Saccharomyces cerevisiae S288C: one gene and its partners. Changing the gene in region 2 together with the main gene of any one other region gives a genetic interaction. Each region holds a gene or a part of one and is shown on either strand. Other genes may lie near its edges.

Region 1 (6,925 bases), on a different chromosome or scaffold from region 2:
TGGGGCGGTAGGGCTTGTTTCAGTAATGGTAATATTCCTAAAGGGACAACAGTCTTGCAAGTCAGTAATTTTACAGGAACATCTATTTCCTATGAGTTCAGGAAGGAAGTTTGTCACAATTGTTTCGCATACGCTAATGCGAAAACTATGAAGTACAAACTAAACTACGATTACCTGAGAGATTTGGTTTGTAATGCACACTACCAAATTAACCCTAAGAAGTTTCTGGGCGCTGGACTGTGGTTCTGTTCAGAACATTGCAGAACTTCTTATCTTCAAATACCAAATATCATTGAATTAATTGAATGTTATGAGATATTACTGCATCATTTTCCAAGCATGCTGAAAAGATATAATTATACCTCTGAACAGGAGGAAAAATTAAACTCTATCTTAATTTCGGAAAATGTCATACAGTCTTCATGGGATGAGATTGAAAGTAAATGGATACCGCGCATCAACAACATGAAATCTGCGAAGAGAATAAATCAATTACCACCCACTTGCGAAGATGAATATTGCTGCATTAGGTTTGTGTGCGAGAGTTTGTTTAATCTTAAATATATGGATCCTCAGTGCATAACATACCGAGCTTTCAATATGTTACAATCGAATGAGCTTAGCAAAATATCTAAATTTCCTGTCTTACTGCACTTTCAAAAATTAGTATTTCAAACACTCTATATTCTATTACCTTCACATTTGCATAGAATGCTCTCCATACCGCTATTGAGACATATATTAGGTACTGAATATGGGAATGCTTTTGGTTTATGGCAAGAGGGCGAAGCCTCAGACAGCAGAGAATATTTTGGATACTGGGTATTTCCAGAAGCCTCCTATTTCAACCACTCTTGTAACCCCAATATAACGAAATATCGTAAAGGTAATTCAATGCTATTCACTATGAATAGAGATATAAAAAAGGATGAGCAGATCTGTATCGATTATTCCGGGGTACTGGACTTACCAACAGTAAAACGCCGGGCCTTTTTGGCCGACAGTTGGTTTTTTGATTGTGCTTGTGAAAGATGTAAATCAGAATTGCAATCTGTCCATTAGCGCTTCTTCCAACGCAGATTTACTAACACTTAAGCTCGAAGATAAATCGTCATCTGAACTACCGCACTCCATTTCTTTATTAATACCATCCTTATCCAATTTGTCATTAGGCTTATTCTCACTATCCGATGTTTTCTTGTGAATGTTCAAAATTTTGGAAGTTTGCAAATGTTGTAACGCCTCATTTGTTACTTCTGTCTCAACTTCTTCAGAATCCTGTCTTTCCGTGGTCAGTGGGCTTGCGGATACATTTAATAGATTATCATTTTGTAAAGTAGGGGTATATTTATGTATTAAATCAGACATCCCTTCATTCACTTGATCATTTGAATACTTCTCAAGATCTCTTTTTTTCTCCAATTGTAGTTGTAAAAGCTCTAAGTGTTCAGCAAATAATTTATATGTTCTCTTTTTAAGAAAAAATTCAGGCGTTTCAAATATTTTTGATAAATTCTGCCAATCTATTTGATCTTGTGAATAATTCAAATTTGATACCATTGTCCAAAGCTGTCGCTCCTTTGTTCCATTCCACTCAAATTTGGGAGGATCCAAGAATCCCTGTGGTCTCCTACCCTTAACTTTGATATATACAACTGTGTTTGTACTATTCATAATCATGAAAGTCAAGTAGGAAAATGCACAGCAGTACAATTATGTATGTCTCTTCTTGATAAGTATTCACTAACACCCCTTTATTTTCACCTTGAATCATTTTTTTGACGAGTGCAGTGCGTCTAGAAATAGTGTACTTGAAGAAAAAAGCCATCTCTGTAATAGAAGCACAAAACAAGAGAAAGTATTTGAGTCAATACAAAACTACAAGTTGTGGCGAAATAAAATGTTTGGAAATGTCGAGGGAGTCGAACGACACAATACAGAGCGATACGGTTAGATCATCCTCTAAATCAGACTATTTTAGAATCCAGCTAAATAATCAAGACTACTATATGTCAAAACCCACCTTTTTGGACCCATCGCACGGTGAAAGCCTGCCCTTAAACCAGTTTTCACAGGTCCCAAACATCAGGGTGTTTGGTGCTTTACCCACAGGGCATCAAGTATTGTGCCACGTCCATGGCATTCTACCTTACATGTTCATCAAGTATGATGGACAAATAACTGACACGAGTACATTGAGACACCAAAGATGTGCCCAAGTTCATAAAACGCTGGAAGTAAAAATTAGGGCATCCTTTAAAAGGAAAAAAGATGATAAACACGATTTAGCCGGCGACAAACTTGGAAATCTCAATTTTGTCGCTGATGTCTCTGTTGTAAAGGGTATACCATTTTATGGTTACCACGTTGGCTGGAATCTGTTTTACAAAATTTCTTTGCTTAATCCTTCTTGTCTAAGTAGGATTTCGGAATTGATTAGAGATGGCAAGATTTTCGGAAAGAAATTCGAAATTTATGAATCACATATTCCTTACTTGCTACAATGGACCGCAGATTTTAACTTATTTGGATGTTCATGGATAAACGTGGATAGGTGTTATTTTCGCTCTCCTGTTTTAAATAGTATACTGGACATAGATAAGCTGACAATTAATGATGATCTTCAGTTGTTACTAGATCGATTTTGTGACTTCAAGTGTAACGTACTCAGTAGAAGGGATTTTCCACGGGTTGGAAATGGATTGATTGAGATAGATATACTACCGCAATTCATCAAAAATAGAGAAAAGTTACAGCATAGAGATATACATCACGACTTTTTGGAAAAACTGGGAGATATTTCTGACATACCTGTCAAACCATATGTATCCTCTGCTAGGGACATGATAAATGAACTTACCATGCAACGAGAGGAGTTGTCCTTGAAGGAATATAAAGAACCACCAGAAACAAAGCGCCATGTGAGTGGTCATCAATGGCAATCTTCTGGAGAGTTCGAAGCGTTTTATAAGAAAGCACAACATAAAACAAGTACTTTTGATGGTCAAATACCAAATTTTGAGAACTTTATAGATAAGAATCAAAAATTCTCAGCCATAAATACGCCCTATGAAGCATTACCGCAATTGTGGCCAAGGCTTCCACAGATTGAAATAAACAATAATAGTATGCAAGATAAAAAGAACGACGACCAAGTTAATGCATCGTTCACCGAATACGAGATATGTGGTGTTGATAATGAGAACGAAGGTGTAAAAGGAAGCAATATAAAGTCTCGGTCTTATTCATGGTTACCGGAAAGCATTGCGTCTCCGAAAGATTCTACTATACTATTAGATCATCAAACAAAATATCACAATACGATAAATTTTTCAATGGATTGTGCTATGACGCAAAATATGGCAAGTAAACGAAAACTTAGATCATCTGTTTCTGCTAATAAAACATCGTTGCTGTCTCGGAAAAGAAAGAAGGTTATGGCTGCGGGATTACGCTATGGAAAAAGAGCCTTTGTTTATGGTGAGCCTCCTTTCGGTTATCAAGATATTCTGAATAAATTGGAAGACGAGGGATTCCCAAAAATAGACTATAAGGACCCTTTCTTTTCGAATCCAGTTGATCTAGAAAATAAACCTTACGCGTACGCAGGTAAGAGGTTTGAAATAAGCTCGACACATGTATCAACGAGAATACCCGTCCAATTTGGGGGAGAGACCGTATCAGTTTATAACAAGCCAACTTTCGACATGTTTTCCTCCTGGAAATATGCGTTAAAACCACCTACGTATGATGCTGTTCAAAAATGGTACAATAAAGTACCCTCGATGGGAAACAAAAAAACTGAGTCTCAGATAAGCATGCACACCCCTCATAGTAAGTTTTTATACAAATTTGCTAGTGACGTTTCTGGAAAACAAAAAAGAAAAAAAAGTAGCGTTCACGATTCTCTTACTCATCTGACACTTGAGATTCATGCAAACACGAGAAGTGATAAAATTCCAGACCCTGCAATAGATGAAGTTTCCATGATTATATGGTGTCTTGAAGAAGAAACTTTCCCTTTAGATTTGGATATCGCTTACGAAGGGATTATGATAGTCCACAAAGCTTCTGAGGATAGTACATTTCCTACTAAAATTCAACATTGTATTAACGAAATTCCCGTGATGTTCTATGAAAGTGAATTTGAAATGTTTGAGGCTCTAACTGATTTGGTATTACTTCTTGATCCTGATATTCTTTCCGGTTTCGAAATACATAATTTTTCGTGGGGTTATATAATTGAAAGGTGTCAAAAAATACATCAATTTGACATTGTCAGGGAACTTGCCAGAGTCAAATGCCAAATTAAGACGAAGTTGTCAGATACTTGGGGATATGCCCATTCCTCAGGAATTATGATTACCGGAAGACATATGATTAATATATGGAGAGCGTTGAGGTCCGACGTAAATTTAACGCAATATACTATTGAAAGTGCTGCGTTCAATATCCTCCATAAACGATTACCTCACTTTTCATTTGAGTCATTAACTAATATGTGGAACGCTAAAAAGAGCACAACCGAATTAAAGACTGTGTTAAATTATTGGTTATCAAGAGCTCAGATAAATATACAACTATTAAGAAAGCAGGATTACATTGCTCGAAATATCGAACAGGCAAGATTGATAGGAATAGATTTCCATTCTGTATATTACAGAGGATCACAATTTAAAGTTGAGTCTTTTTTAATCCGAATATGCAAGTCCGAAAGTTTTATCCTTCTTTCTCCAGGCAAAAAGGATGTTCGTAAGCAAAAAGCACTTGAATGTGTGCCTTTGGTTATGGAGCCAGAATCTGCTTTCTACAAAAGTCCTTTAATTGTGCTGGATTTCCAATCATTGTATCCATCCATTATGATTGGATACAACTATTGCTATTCGACTATGATAGGAAGAGTGCGAGAAATAAACTTAACGGAAAATAACCTTGGAGTATCTAAGTTTTCATTACCAAGAAACATTTTAGCTTTATTAAAAAATGATGTAACTATCGCTCCAAATGGTGTTGTTTATGCCAAGACCTCTGTTAGAAAATCAACGTTATCCAAAATGTTAACAGATATCCTTGATGTCAGAGTGATGATAAAGAAAACAATGAACGAAATAGGTGATGACAACACTACCCTAAAAAGGCTTTTGAATAACAAACAGTTAGCACTAAAATTATTGGCGAATGTCACCTACGGTTATACATCAGCTTCATTTTCTGGACGAATGCCATGCTCTGATTTAGCTGATAGCATTGTACAAACAGGCAGAGAAACATTGGAGAAAGCAATAGATATTATTGAGAAAGATGAAACTTGGAACGCCAAAGTTGTCTATGGAGACACAGATAGTTTATTTGTATATCTACCTGGAAAAACTGCTATTGAGGCTTTTTCTATAGGACATGCTATGGCAGAAAGAGTTACTCAAAACAATCCAAAACCAATCTTTTTGAAGTTTGAAAAAGTATACCATCCCTCCATATTAATTAGCAAAAAAAGGTACGTAGGATTTTCCTATGAAAGTCCTTCGCAGACCCTTCCTATTTTTGATGCTAAGGGTATTGAAACTGTTAGAAGGGATGGTATCCCAGCCCAGCAGAAGATTATTGAAAAATGTATTCGATTACTTTTTCAAACCAAAGACCTGTCAAAAATAAAAAAGTATCTTCAAAATGAATTTTTTAAGATTCAAATAGGAAAGGTATCTGCCCAAGATTTTTGTTTTGCAAAAGAAGTTAAATTAGGAGCGTATAAAAGCGAAAAGACAGCCCCTGCAGGTGCCGTGGTTGTAAAAAGAAGAATAAATGAAGACCATAGAGCAGAACCCCAATACAAGGAGCGTATACCTTACCTTGTTGTTAAAGGAAAGCAAGGACAACTGCTTCGGGAAAGATGCGTATCACCAGAAGAGTTCTTAGAAGGTGAGAATTTAGAGTTAGATTCGGAGTATTATATAAACAAAATTCTGATACCTCCTCTTGATAGATTGTTCAATTTGATTGGTATAAATGTTGGCAACTGGGCTCAGGAAATAGTAAAATCCAAAAGGGCGAGCACAACTACTACAAAAGTGGAAAACATAACAAGAGTAGGAACTTCTGCAACATGTTGTAATTGTGGTGAAGAATTGACTAAAATATGTTCACTTCAGTTATGTGATGACTGTTTAGAGAAAAGAAGCACCACAACCTTATCATTTCTCATAAAGAAATTAAAGAGACAAAAAGAATACCAAACACTAAAGACCGTGTGCAGGACGTGCAGTTATCGTTACACTTCCGATGCAGGCATCGAAAATGACCATATAGCTAGTAAATGCAATTCATATGACTGTCCAGTATTTTACTCTCGTGTCAAAGCAGAAAGATACTTGAGAGATAATCAATCTGTTCAAAGGGAAGAAGCATTAATATCTCTAAATGATTGGTAATCTAGACACAGATATGTCTCGCAAAATGATGAGTAGTTATTTGTTTCTATGTATAACGTTGTTATATACAAGAAAGAAAAAAATCATTTCTTTGATTCTTGACGTTGAGATAGACGGTATCTATAATATGCAAAAAAGGAGGCCAGCAATGCTGAGAGTGAAATAAGGAATCTCTTTGAATTAGTGAAAGACTTTTGAGGAATCTTCGTATCCTCTAAGAGTGGATTGCTACTTTGAAAAACTACAATTTTATTATTATCGTATAAGTTCCCCACACATTTCCAACCTTTTAATTCGATCTCATTAATTTCGTTCAAAACTCTATCTGGTGGGGACCCAGATGCATTAATAACGCCAAATAAGTCCGTAAAATTGATGTTAAAGACACTGTGATCAAAGTTGTTTGACAGGGTCATATCCTTATTGTTTTCTAATGAGTGTAACAATATGTTATTCCCTTGAAGTACTTTTTTAGTAGTTTTACTCTTTTTTCCTCCTCC
Region 2 (6,435 bases):
CTGACATCGAAAATGACGATGAAAAGGTAAGTTCAGAAAGTCGTTCATATAAGAACGACGACGAAGTTTTCAAGAAACCGCAAATAAGTGCTACAAGTAGCCAAAATGCTACAACGAGTGCCGCAATTAGAAAACTGAATAAGACAAGGCCTGTGTCGTTCTTTGATAAATATTTATTAGGTAAAGAATTAGGTGCAGGGCACTACGCCCTGGTGAAAGAAGCCAAAAACAAAAAAACTGGTCAGCAAGTAGCTGTGAAAATATTCCACGCTCAGCAAAATGACGACCAAAAAAAGAATAAACAATTTAGGGAGGAAACTAACATCCTAATGAGAGTGCAACATCCAAACATTGTCAACTTACTAGATAGTTTTGTAGAGCCAATCAGCAAATCTCAGATTCAAAAATATTTGGTACTGGAAAAGATCGACGATGGCGAACTATTTGAAAGAATCGTCAGAAAAACATGTTTGAGACAGGATGAATCCAAAGCTCTATTCAAACAGTTACTTACCGGATTGAAGTATCTGCATGAGCAAAACATCATTCACAGAGACATCAAGCCAGAAAATATCTTATTAAATATAACAAGGCGCGAAAATCCAAGTCAAGTCCAACTTGGCCCATGGGATGAAGATGAAATTGATATTCAAGTTAAAATAGCGGATTTTGGCCTAGCAAAATTTACAGGAGAAATGCAATTCACAAACACACTTTGTGGTACGCCTTCTTATGTAGCGCCCGAAGTCCTCACAAAGAAAGGATACACATCAAAAGTAGATCTTTGGAGTGCTGGTGTCATATTATATGTCTGTTTATGTGGTTTTCCTCCATTCAGTGATCAATTGGGGCCACCTTCATTGAAGGAACAGATCTTACAAGCTAAGTATGCGTTTTACTCTCCGTACTGGGATAAAATCGATGACTCAGTACTACATTTAATATCCAATCTTTTGGTCCTAAATCCTGATGAAAGGTACAATATAGATGAAGCTTTGAACCACCCTTGGTTCAATGACATACAGCAACAAAGCTCGGTCTCATTAGAATTGCAGCGTTTACAAATTACTGACAATAAAATACCCAAAACATACTCAGAATTATCTTGCCTCTAAACATGAGAAGCATTATTTCAAAAACATTGTTTGAATCTGGATTTTTCCAAGTATCTATTTATATATACATATATATCCACCAACATGCAAAAAGTTGTTAGCCTTTCTTAATCCTAATATGATGTGCCACCCTATCGTTTTTTACCATTTGCTTAATTGTTCTACTTTCTCCTGCAGCTCTTTTTTAACCTTAACCCGCATATAAAAAATGTCACAGTTCTTATTTGAACACAAAACTTCACTATGTAAGTTACCAGCGCACCTTTGGCATTGTGTCCATAATCTTGAGTATTTTTCCTCTAAATCTCTGACATCGTATAATGCCTTTATGTATAATTCTCCAGACCTTGCTAGACAGTTTGAACAAAGAGGGCCTTCACCTTTCCTCAACGGACCTTTACAACTTTTACAAGCCTCAACTTTTTTAATAAAGCTCATCAAGCCTCCTTTTTGAGAGCCTGTGTTAATTTTAATGGATTTCACAACGAACATACCGTTCGCCTGTTTGTCGCCAATAATAGGTGCAACAATACTAATGATTGGATTTTGTAATTGATTAGTTAAATAATAGCGCGAATCCACTTGAATATTGTTTTCTAGTACAAATAATGGATCTTCTGCTCTATTGTAAAGTTTATCATTACCACCGATAATGACATAGTCCACACGATCACCAACATTTGGACCAACGCCCTCTCTCCTCTTCATACGTTCAGCCAAAACGGCGTGCGGCTGTGGATTTGTGTAATTTGGGGCTAACGTCTTTGATATAATCAACTTTGAAATATCTACTCTATTATGCAGAATATCATTGATAGTTTCTCTGACAAAAGCTAAAGCACCATCTACATTTCTTTCAATTAAAATTTTCTTTAAAACTTTATTCATAACAATAGAAACCAAGGAACAGGAATCACGACGGACAGAAGCAAGGCCTTTTTGGTCCAACTTGTCAAACTTGTCAGGATTAGTCCAGAATAAACCTGCATAACGCTTTTTATTTATCAAAAGGTAAGGGAAGTATGCTTTTTCAAATTCTAAGTTAATCGGATGTTTGAATAGAGTGGAGACATATTTGGCAGCTTCGGTACCAAGATCCATAGCTTCCTTTAAATCTGTTGTACCAAACTTTACCATAACGGAATCAGTGTCACCGTAAACCACAACGGCATCGTGCTTATAACCATTCTTTATACAATATTTTTCTTGGACTGCGGTTTTAGTTTTTAAAATCATGGTACGACCATAAGCAGTAACAGATGAAGAAATGGCTAAACATGGCAATTTACCCACCGTCGCTCCTGTAAAACCATAGACAGAGTTAGCTGAAATCTTCAAAGCCAATTGTCTACCATTTAAAACATCTCTTTTGAATGGATCCTTCTCATCTCTCAGATCTTTTTTAGCGCGTTTTCTAGCACTTATTAATTCATCCAGAATAATTGGTAATATACCACGCCTTCTTTTTGTGGTAACAAAATAATCTCCATTAGGTGTTATGACGTAGTCTTCGTCAATTTTAAGATTCAATCTCTCTACAGTAGCTTTGTTACAAAGTGTTGTATAACATAGGTTGTGCGCCATCATAATACTTGGATATAAAGAATTGAAATCCAAAGTTGCAATCGGTACATCGTAATAACCACGAATAGGCTCAATAACAGTGGCACCCTCATATTGGTCATCAGAGGCCTGAGATTGCATGTTAGGTATCACAGTATCAATCTCCAGGCACTTTCGAAATAGTTGAGAAACAACTTTAATTTGTTGACCACGAGCTAGTAAATATGAAAATGGCACACCTGTAACACGAGCCATTTCTGTATAGTTAACTAACGCCATTAGTTTTTCCATAAGCCTTAAAGGCAGGTAGGCGTCTTTCAAACAGTAAACGGCCAACCTTCTTCTTGTTTCACTATCGCCATTTTGTAGATCAGAAATGATGCTATAATGTACATCCTCCTTCTGTTCACCTAAAAAGTGCGCAGAGACTGCATTCAACGTGTAGGATCTTAGTTTATACTCACGCTGAATAAATTGCAAAAGATCCAACTGTAATCGGCCGTCAATATTGACATTTTTGGTTTCTCTTGTACCATAAGCCTTCGAAGAGAACACAGACTCTTTAATTTCTTGCTTAACGGTTTTTAACCTTCCAAAATATGGGAAATCATTCACCTTTAGCGCCTTTGCACGGTTTAAAAGATAAGGGATATCAAAATTTGTAGTATTATAACCAATGATAACATCAGGATCAACTTTGATGATAAAGTTACGCCAATTGCTCAACATTTCCTCTTCAGTGGCGTGGGAAAAAATCATTGAACCTGTTATGGGTGAGCATGTATTCAGAGTAAACACATTACGAATGAATGGTTTCTTAGCGCCAGCAATACTCACAACGTTGGCAATTTGGATGACGGGATCGTATTCAGGTTCCGGAAAGACGCCAATCCTACCAGCACACTCGATATCAAAGGACATGATACGCAATGGAGCTGTATGAGACCAATCACCCTCAGCAGGATGTGCTATTAGGTTACGATAATTAATTGAAACTTCCAACTGACAAGAGGAAACTCTGTTATTAGGCTCAATCATCGAATACTTTCCTTTTGGTAATGTTATCCAGGACATACCGACAATTCCACAATCTACCATTAACCTTAAAGTGTAGGCAATGTTATCATAAGTAGTCGTGCCGTTAGAAAACCACGAGTTGAATGAAAGATGACCTCTTTCAAACGCAGTACGCAGTTTGTTGACCATATGCGGATAGGTGACGTATATTTTCCAGAATGGTAATTTGGTATCTCCGGAATAACCCCAGATAGACTGTTTAGATACAACTTCAATCGAATCAATAGCGTGGTCAAATGTTTCGTTTAAATAGTGCACAAACTTGTTGATTTGCTCCTGATCGTTAGCGTCGGAAGAATTGGGCGCTGGGACGTAAAGATAGTTCTTGAACCCTGTAACATTACAAAGTACAGAGTGTCCTTCACTAGTGACACCAAAAAACCTTACCACGGTAGATGTATTTTCATCTTTGATACCATTCAGTACGCTCTGTTCCGCATCAATTTGTTGGAAAGAAATATCATACAAACTTGGGTCAAAATCGGTTGGAAGTTTCTTACGCTCGAATGATGACAGGTCATGCTCTTCTTGGTCGGCCATATCATGTTCCATTTGCGATAGCTCTTGTTCAAAAGTAGACTCTAATTGCGTACCCATTAAATCTGTATCCTTTGCTTTGAAGCCTTGACTATTATATTTTCGAAAAGAATCACTCGGAATAATCTCTATTGTTGAAACAGGTTCACTTCCAACACCATGATCTATTGATTGCCGTTTGATTTTCTTTTCCAACTGGGGAGTATCCTCGTCATCGATCTTCACATCAACCATGGGAAGGGATCTTTTTTCACTCATTGCTGTGCGTATATGTATAAAGATTAATGCTTAATAGCAAGTGCTCAATATCTATTTTCCTTTATCCTTGAAAATTGCCTTAGATCAGTAGTACTGAGTGTTTGTTCTTCATAAGCGAATAGCAGATGTCCTCATTGAACATTTTATAGAATAAAAAGTTACGCGTAATACGAAAAATTGCCTATTACGTTAAGGCATACTTTTACCACACAAAACCAAGATCAACCGTCAAGCAAGAACGCTGCAAAGAAACGCAGATATAAAGGAGAACACCAGATCGAACTGCAACTATGACTGACACAAAACAGCTATTCATTGAAGCCGGACAAAGTCAACTTTTCCACAATTGGGAAAGCTTGTCTCGCAAAGACCAAGAAGAATTGCTTTCAAACCTGGAGCAAATATCTTCCAAGAGGTCCCCTGCAAAACTACTGGAAGACTGTCAAAATGCTATTAAATTCTCACTAGCTAACTCTTCTAAGGATACTGGCGTCGAAATTTCACCATTGCCCCCTACTTCGTACGAGTCGCTTATTGGCAACAGTAAGAAAGAAAATGAATACTGGCGTTTAGGCCTTGAAGCTATTGGCAAGGGTGAAGTCGCAGTGATTTTAATGGCTGGCGGACAAGGTACGCGGTTAGGATCCTCTCAACCAAAGGGCTGTTACGACATTGGATTGCCTTCTAAGAAATCTCTTTTTCAAATTCAAGCTGAAAAGTTGATCAGGTTGCAAGATATGGTAAAGGACAAAAAGGTAGAAATTCCTTGGTATATTATGACATCAGGCCCCACTAGAGCGGCTACTGAGGCATACTTTCAAGAACACAATTATTTTGGCTTGAATAAAGAACAAATTACGTTCTTCAACCAGGGAACCCTGCCTGCCTTTGATTTAACCGGGAAGCATTTCCTAATGAAAGACCCAGTAAACCTATCTCAATCACCAGATGGAAATGGTGGACTCTACCGTGCCATCAAGGAAAACAAGTTGAACGAAGACTTTGATAGGAGAGGAATCAAGCATGTTTACATGTACTGTGTCGATAATGTCCTATCTAAAATCGCAGACCCTGTATTTATTGGTTTTGCCATCAAGCATGGCTTCGAACTGGCCACCAAAGCCGTTAGAAAGAGAGATGCGCATGAATCAGTTGGGTTAATTGCTACTAAAAACGAGAAACCATGTGTCATAGAATATTCTGAAATTTCCAATGAATTGGCTGAAGCAAAGGATAAAGATGGCTTATTAAAACTACGCGCAGGCAACATTGTAAATCATTATTACCTAGTGGATTTACTAAAACGTGATTTGGATCAGTGGTGTGAGAATATGCCATATCACATTGCGAAGAAGAAAATTCCAGCTTATGATAGTGTTACCGGCAAGTACACTAAGCCTACCGAACCAAACGGTATAAAATTAGAGCAATTCATATTTGATGTCTTTGACACTGTACCACTGAACAAGTTTGGGTGCTTAGAAGTAGATAGATGCAAAGAATTTTCACCTTTAAAAAACGGTCCTGGTTCTAAGAACGATAATCCTGAGACCAGCAGACTAGCATATTTGAAACTAGGAACCTCGTGGTTGGAAGATGCAGGCGCTATTGTAAAAGATGGGGTACTAGTCGAAGTTTCCAGCAAATTGAGTTATGCAGGTGAAAATCTATCCCAGTTCAAAGGTAAAGTCTTTGACAGAAGTGGTATAGTATTAGAAAAATAACTGTTTGAGCTACTTATGAAGCACTTTTAACATGTAATTGAAAAGTACTCGTAATTGTGATTCAATATATATAATAAAATATTTCGTACTCTGAAAAATAGCTAAATTACTTGTTTTATGTAATTTCTATTTGGCGGATCCGCTCTGCCAATGGAAAGAGT
Region 3 (3,546 bases), on a different chromosome or scaffold from region 2:
CCCAAACATATATCGTTTATATAAGTACTGTTTCCTCGCATTAAGCGGGAAAGCCATGTATCTCTTGTAATTAGTTTGATCCTGTTCTATACCCAAATGTACTCCTCAAAATTATTACATTTTATTATGCCTTTTTCTTAGATGGGCTTTCACTCCACTTTACGAAAAACTGAGAAAAAAAGAGTAGGAGAAAAACTAGAAAAGGGGAATCACACACACACACACACACACACACACACACACACACACACGTCTAATATCGGCGCATATTTATCAAATCTAAAAGGCAAAGAATCTTAATACATAAAATCCCAGACGGTTATGATGGAATTCAAAGTGTCACCATTGACAAAGATTATTTCTCTGTCAGGATTCCTCGCATTGGGATTCCTTTTGGTCATACTAAGCTGCGCATTATTCCATAATTACTACCCACTATTCGATATTTTGATCTTTTTGCTTGCCCCAATACCAAACACAATTTTCAATGCAGGAAATAAATATCACACATCTGACTTCATGTCCGATTCATCAAACACTGGCCAAGATCTGGCTCACTTCCTTACAGGAATGCTGGTGACAAGCGGTATAGCACTCCCTGTTGTTTTCTATCATTGCCAATTGATTGGCCATTTGAGTTGTATCATGTGCATGATCGGTGGTCTTATCATATATTCTAGTATTGTTATTTTTAAATGGTTTTTCAAAAAAGATTTCAACGAAGATGATTCCCTTTTTGGTTAATATATAACAATTACTCATCCCCTCAACAGACTAAGCCAACTGGGTGCGTGAACCGTACATTGATATTATATAGTATGATACTCTACTCAAGGTGGGAAATCTGGCGTCGATTTCTCCTTTTTTTTAGAACTACTTAAATATAATAGATTACATAAAATTACTTTCTGTCTTTCTTCCATTTCAAGTTTTCAAACAAAAAATGCCAAGAAATTCGTGTCTTTAGCCTCTAGTTGACAGAATAATGTAGATAGGCAAAGTTGGCTGAATACATCCGTAATTTCGGGATAAGGATTGGCATTGAATCGCCACATGTCTATAATCTTATTTGAATCGATCTATGAGCGGAAACGTTGAGCAATGGTCGTACAACCATTCTGTGCCGCAATATACCTCATGAAAAGAGATGGGATTGCAAACCTTGAGAAATTAGTCTCTAGTAGGATAATGTATTGTACATTTGTTTGATTCCGCAGTTTTTATAGTGGCTTGAGATTTGTATTTCAACTAGATATGTTGAAAATATCCTCGTAGCGAATGTGGACATAGTGATAACAACAATGTCTTTGTCTTCTACACAAAGGTAAAGGTGTATAAAGCTTTACACACAATAAAGACGACACATAACAAATTATGCAACTGCGCTGCTATTGTAGGATAGCGTCCGATATTATCAATTCTTGCTTTTCAGCTTCTATTATATCTGATGACTAGTTCTCAATCTTTACGTCATCTTCCTATGGCATATTTTGTAATGTGCTAGTGACATGAATACTACTATGGATTATAGTAGGATTTCATTCTAACACAGCTCAGTGTGCAAGTTGTTTTTAATTTTACAATATGAATCTTTATTAAGTCTAAAATATTCATAAAAGTTAAGCGCCGTGGCGCAGTGGAAGCGCGCAGGGCTCATAACCCTGATGTCCTCGGATCGAAACCGAGCGGCGCTAAGCTTAATTTTTATATTTTTATCGTTTCACCTTATGAAAATTCTCGATCAGTATGCCTCAATATAGAACACTTCATTAATGGAAGTACCTTAATAAGGTTATACTAACGAATAGGTCTATTTTCCACTACGGTGTAACTTTCCGACGGAAGTAGTAAACGCGTATGAGTTAAACACGCGAAACTCTTAATTTTGAAAAGTACGCAGAAGTTCGTTACATCGCAATCAGATCAGCTCGAAATAATATTTCACATTAACTAACAACCAGAAATAGGCTTTAGTTAACTCAATCGGTAATTAATGGATCAAAAGGCGTCATATTTTATCAATGAGAAGCTCTTCACTGAGGTAAAGCCCGTCCTTTTTACGGATCTAATTCACCACTTGAAGATCGGCCCATCCATGGCCAAGAAATTAATGTTTGACTATTACAAACAGACCACCAATGCCAAATACAACTGCGTAGTGATATGCTGCTACAAAGATCAAACTATTAAAATTATTCATGATCTTTCCAACATTCCACAGCAAGATTCAATAATTGATTGTTTCATCTATGCCTTCAATCCCATGGACAGCTTCATACCATATTACGACATTATCGATCAAAAGGATTGTTTAACCATTAAAAATTCATACGAACTTAAAGTTTCTGAATCATCGAAAATTATAGAGAGGACTAAGACGTTAGAAGAGAAATCTAAACCTTTGGTAAGGCCTACAGCAAGATCAAAGACCACGCCAGAAGAAACAACCGGAAGGAAATCCAAATCTAAAGACATGGGTCTCAGGTCTACTGCACTGCTGGCTAAGATGAAAAAGGATAGAGATGACAAGGAAACCTCTAGACAAAATGAGTTACGTAAAAGGAAAGAGGAGAACTTGCAAAAAATAAATAAACAGAACCCTGAAAGAGAAGCTCAAATGAAAGAGTTAAATAATCTTTTTGTCGAAGATGACTTAGATACAGAGGAAGTAAATGGAGGGTCCAAGCCCAACTCACCTAAAGAAACTGACAGCAACGATAAGGACAAAAACAACGATGATTTAGAAGACTTGTTGGAAACGACAGCAGAAGATTCACTTATGGATGTACCTAAAATACAGCAAACAAAGCCTTCTGAAACAGAACATTCAAAGGAACCTAAATCTGAAGAAGAGCCCTCCTCTTTTATTGATGAGGATGGATATATTGTGACAAAGAGACCCGCAACTTCAACACCACCACGCAAGCCATCACCCGTGGTAAAAAGGGCATTGTCGTCTTCAAAAAAGCAAGAAACGCCGTCATCGAATAAAAGGTTAAAAAAGCAAGGAACATTGGAAAGCTTTTTCAAAAGAAAGGCAAAATAATCTTCTTTTTTTTCCAAACACTTTCCATTACTAATTGTGATGTAATGTATAATACAAATGTCAACTTACGTGATAGAAAAATAGATCAATATAAATATATATTGTTGTTTAAATTTACTTATTTTCGTCATATATCCTAATATACCATCCGAAGGACATTACTATACTGATTTACATGAACGCTTGACATAATTTGAAATTTAGTTTCTTTCTTAAATTTTTCAAAAGTGTTGCCATGCTACTAGGTAAGCTTTTATCTGCTTCAATAATGGTTTCATATAAGTTTGAACTTTTTTCATCAGCGTCATCCCATTTAGTTTCTATAACTTCAATGACTGTCGCCACTGAATCTTCATCCATTAGCTTCTTATCATCTAAAAGGAAAATTGGGTACAGGAATTTCGCCACAAGCAAAACCAAGTAATGTTTTGGTAAATAAGGGAATTCAATCAGCAAAAGCAATAGGCGCAGCGCTTGGCCCCAATCTTCTCTGTCCCTCA

What was found.
Region 1: of POL3 (region 2) and REV3, changing one suppresses a phenotype caused by changing the other (phenotypic suppression), as found in Saccharomyces cerevisiae (9 studies listed by BioGRID).
Region 3: mutations in POL3 (region 2) and POL32 are lethal when combined (synthetic lethality), as found in Saccharomyces cerevisiae (11 studies listed by BioGRID, with this or other methods).

The regions. Positions count from the first base shown.
Region 1 is NC_001148.4:232,093-239,017, reverse strand, and holds REV3 (DNA-directed DNA polymerase), read left to right. Parts: upstream 1-1,910; coding exon 1,911-6,425; downstream 6,426-6,925. Other genes in the region: SET6 (Set6p), read left to right, coding at 1-1,062; ATG29 (Atg29p), read right to left, coding at 1,039-1,680; MRX4 (Mrx4p), read right to left, coding at 6,509-6,925. UniProt on the Saccharomyces cerevisiae protein: Nonessential DNA polymerase. Required for DNA damage induced mutagenesis. Involved in DNA repair, mitochondrial DNA repair and translesion synthesis.
Region 2 is NC_001136.10:274,987-281,421, reverse strand, and holds POL3 (DNA-directed DNA polymerase delta POL3), read right to left. Parts: upstream 4,551-6,435; coding exon 1,257-4,550; downstream 1-1,256. Other genes in the region: serine/threonine protein kinase DUN1, read left to right, coding at 1-1,115; QRI1 (UDP-N-acetylglucosamine diphosphorylase), read left to right, coding at 4,841-6,274.
Region 3 is NC_001142.9:515,961-519,506, reverse strand, and holds POL32 (DNA polymerase delta subunit POL32), read left to right. Parts: upstream 1-1,993; coding exon 1,994-3,046; downstream 3,047-3,546. Other genes in the region: VPS55 (Vps55p), read left to right, coding at 322-744; NUP85 (Nup85p), read right to left, coding at 3,218-3,546. UniProt on the Saccharomyces cerevisiae protein: DNA polymerase delta (DNA polymerase III) participates in chromosomal DNA replication.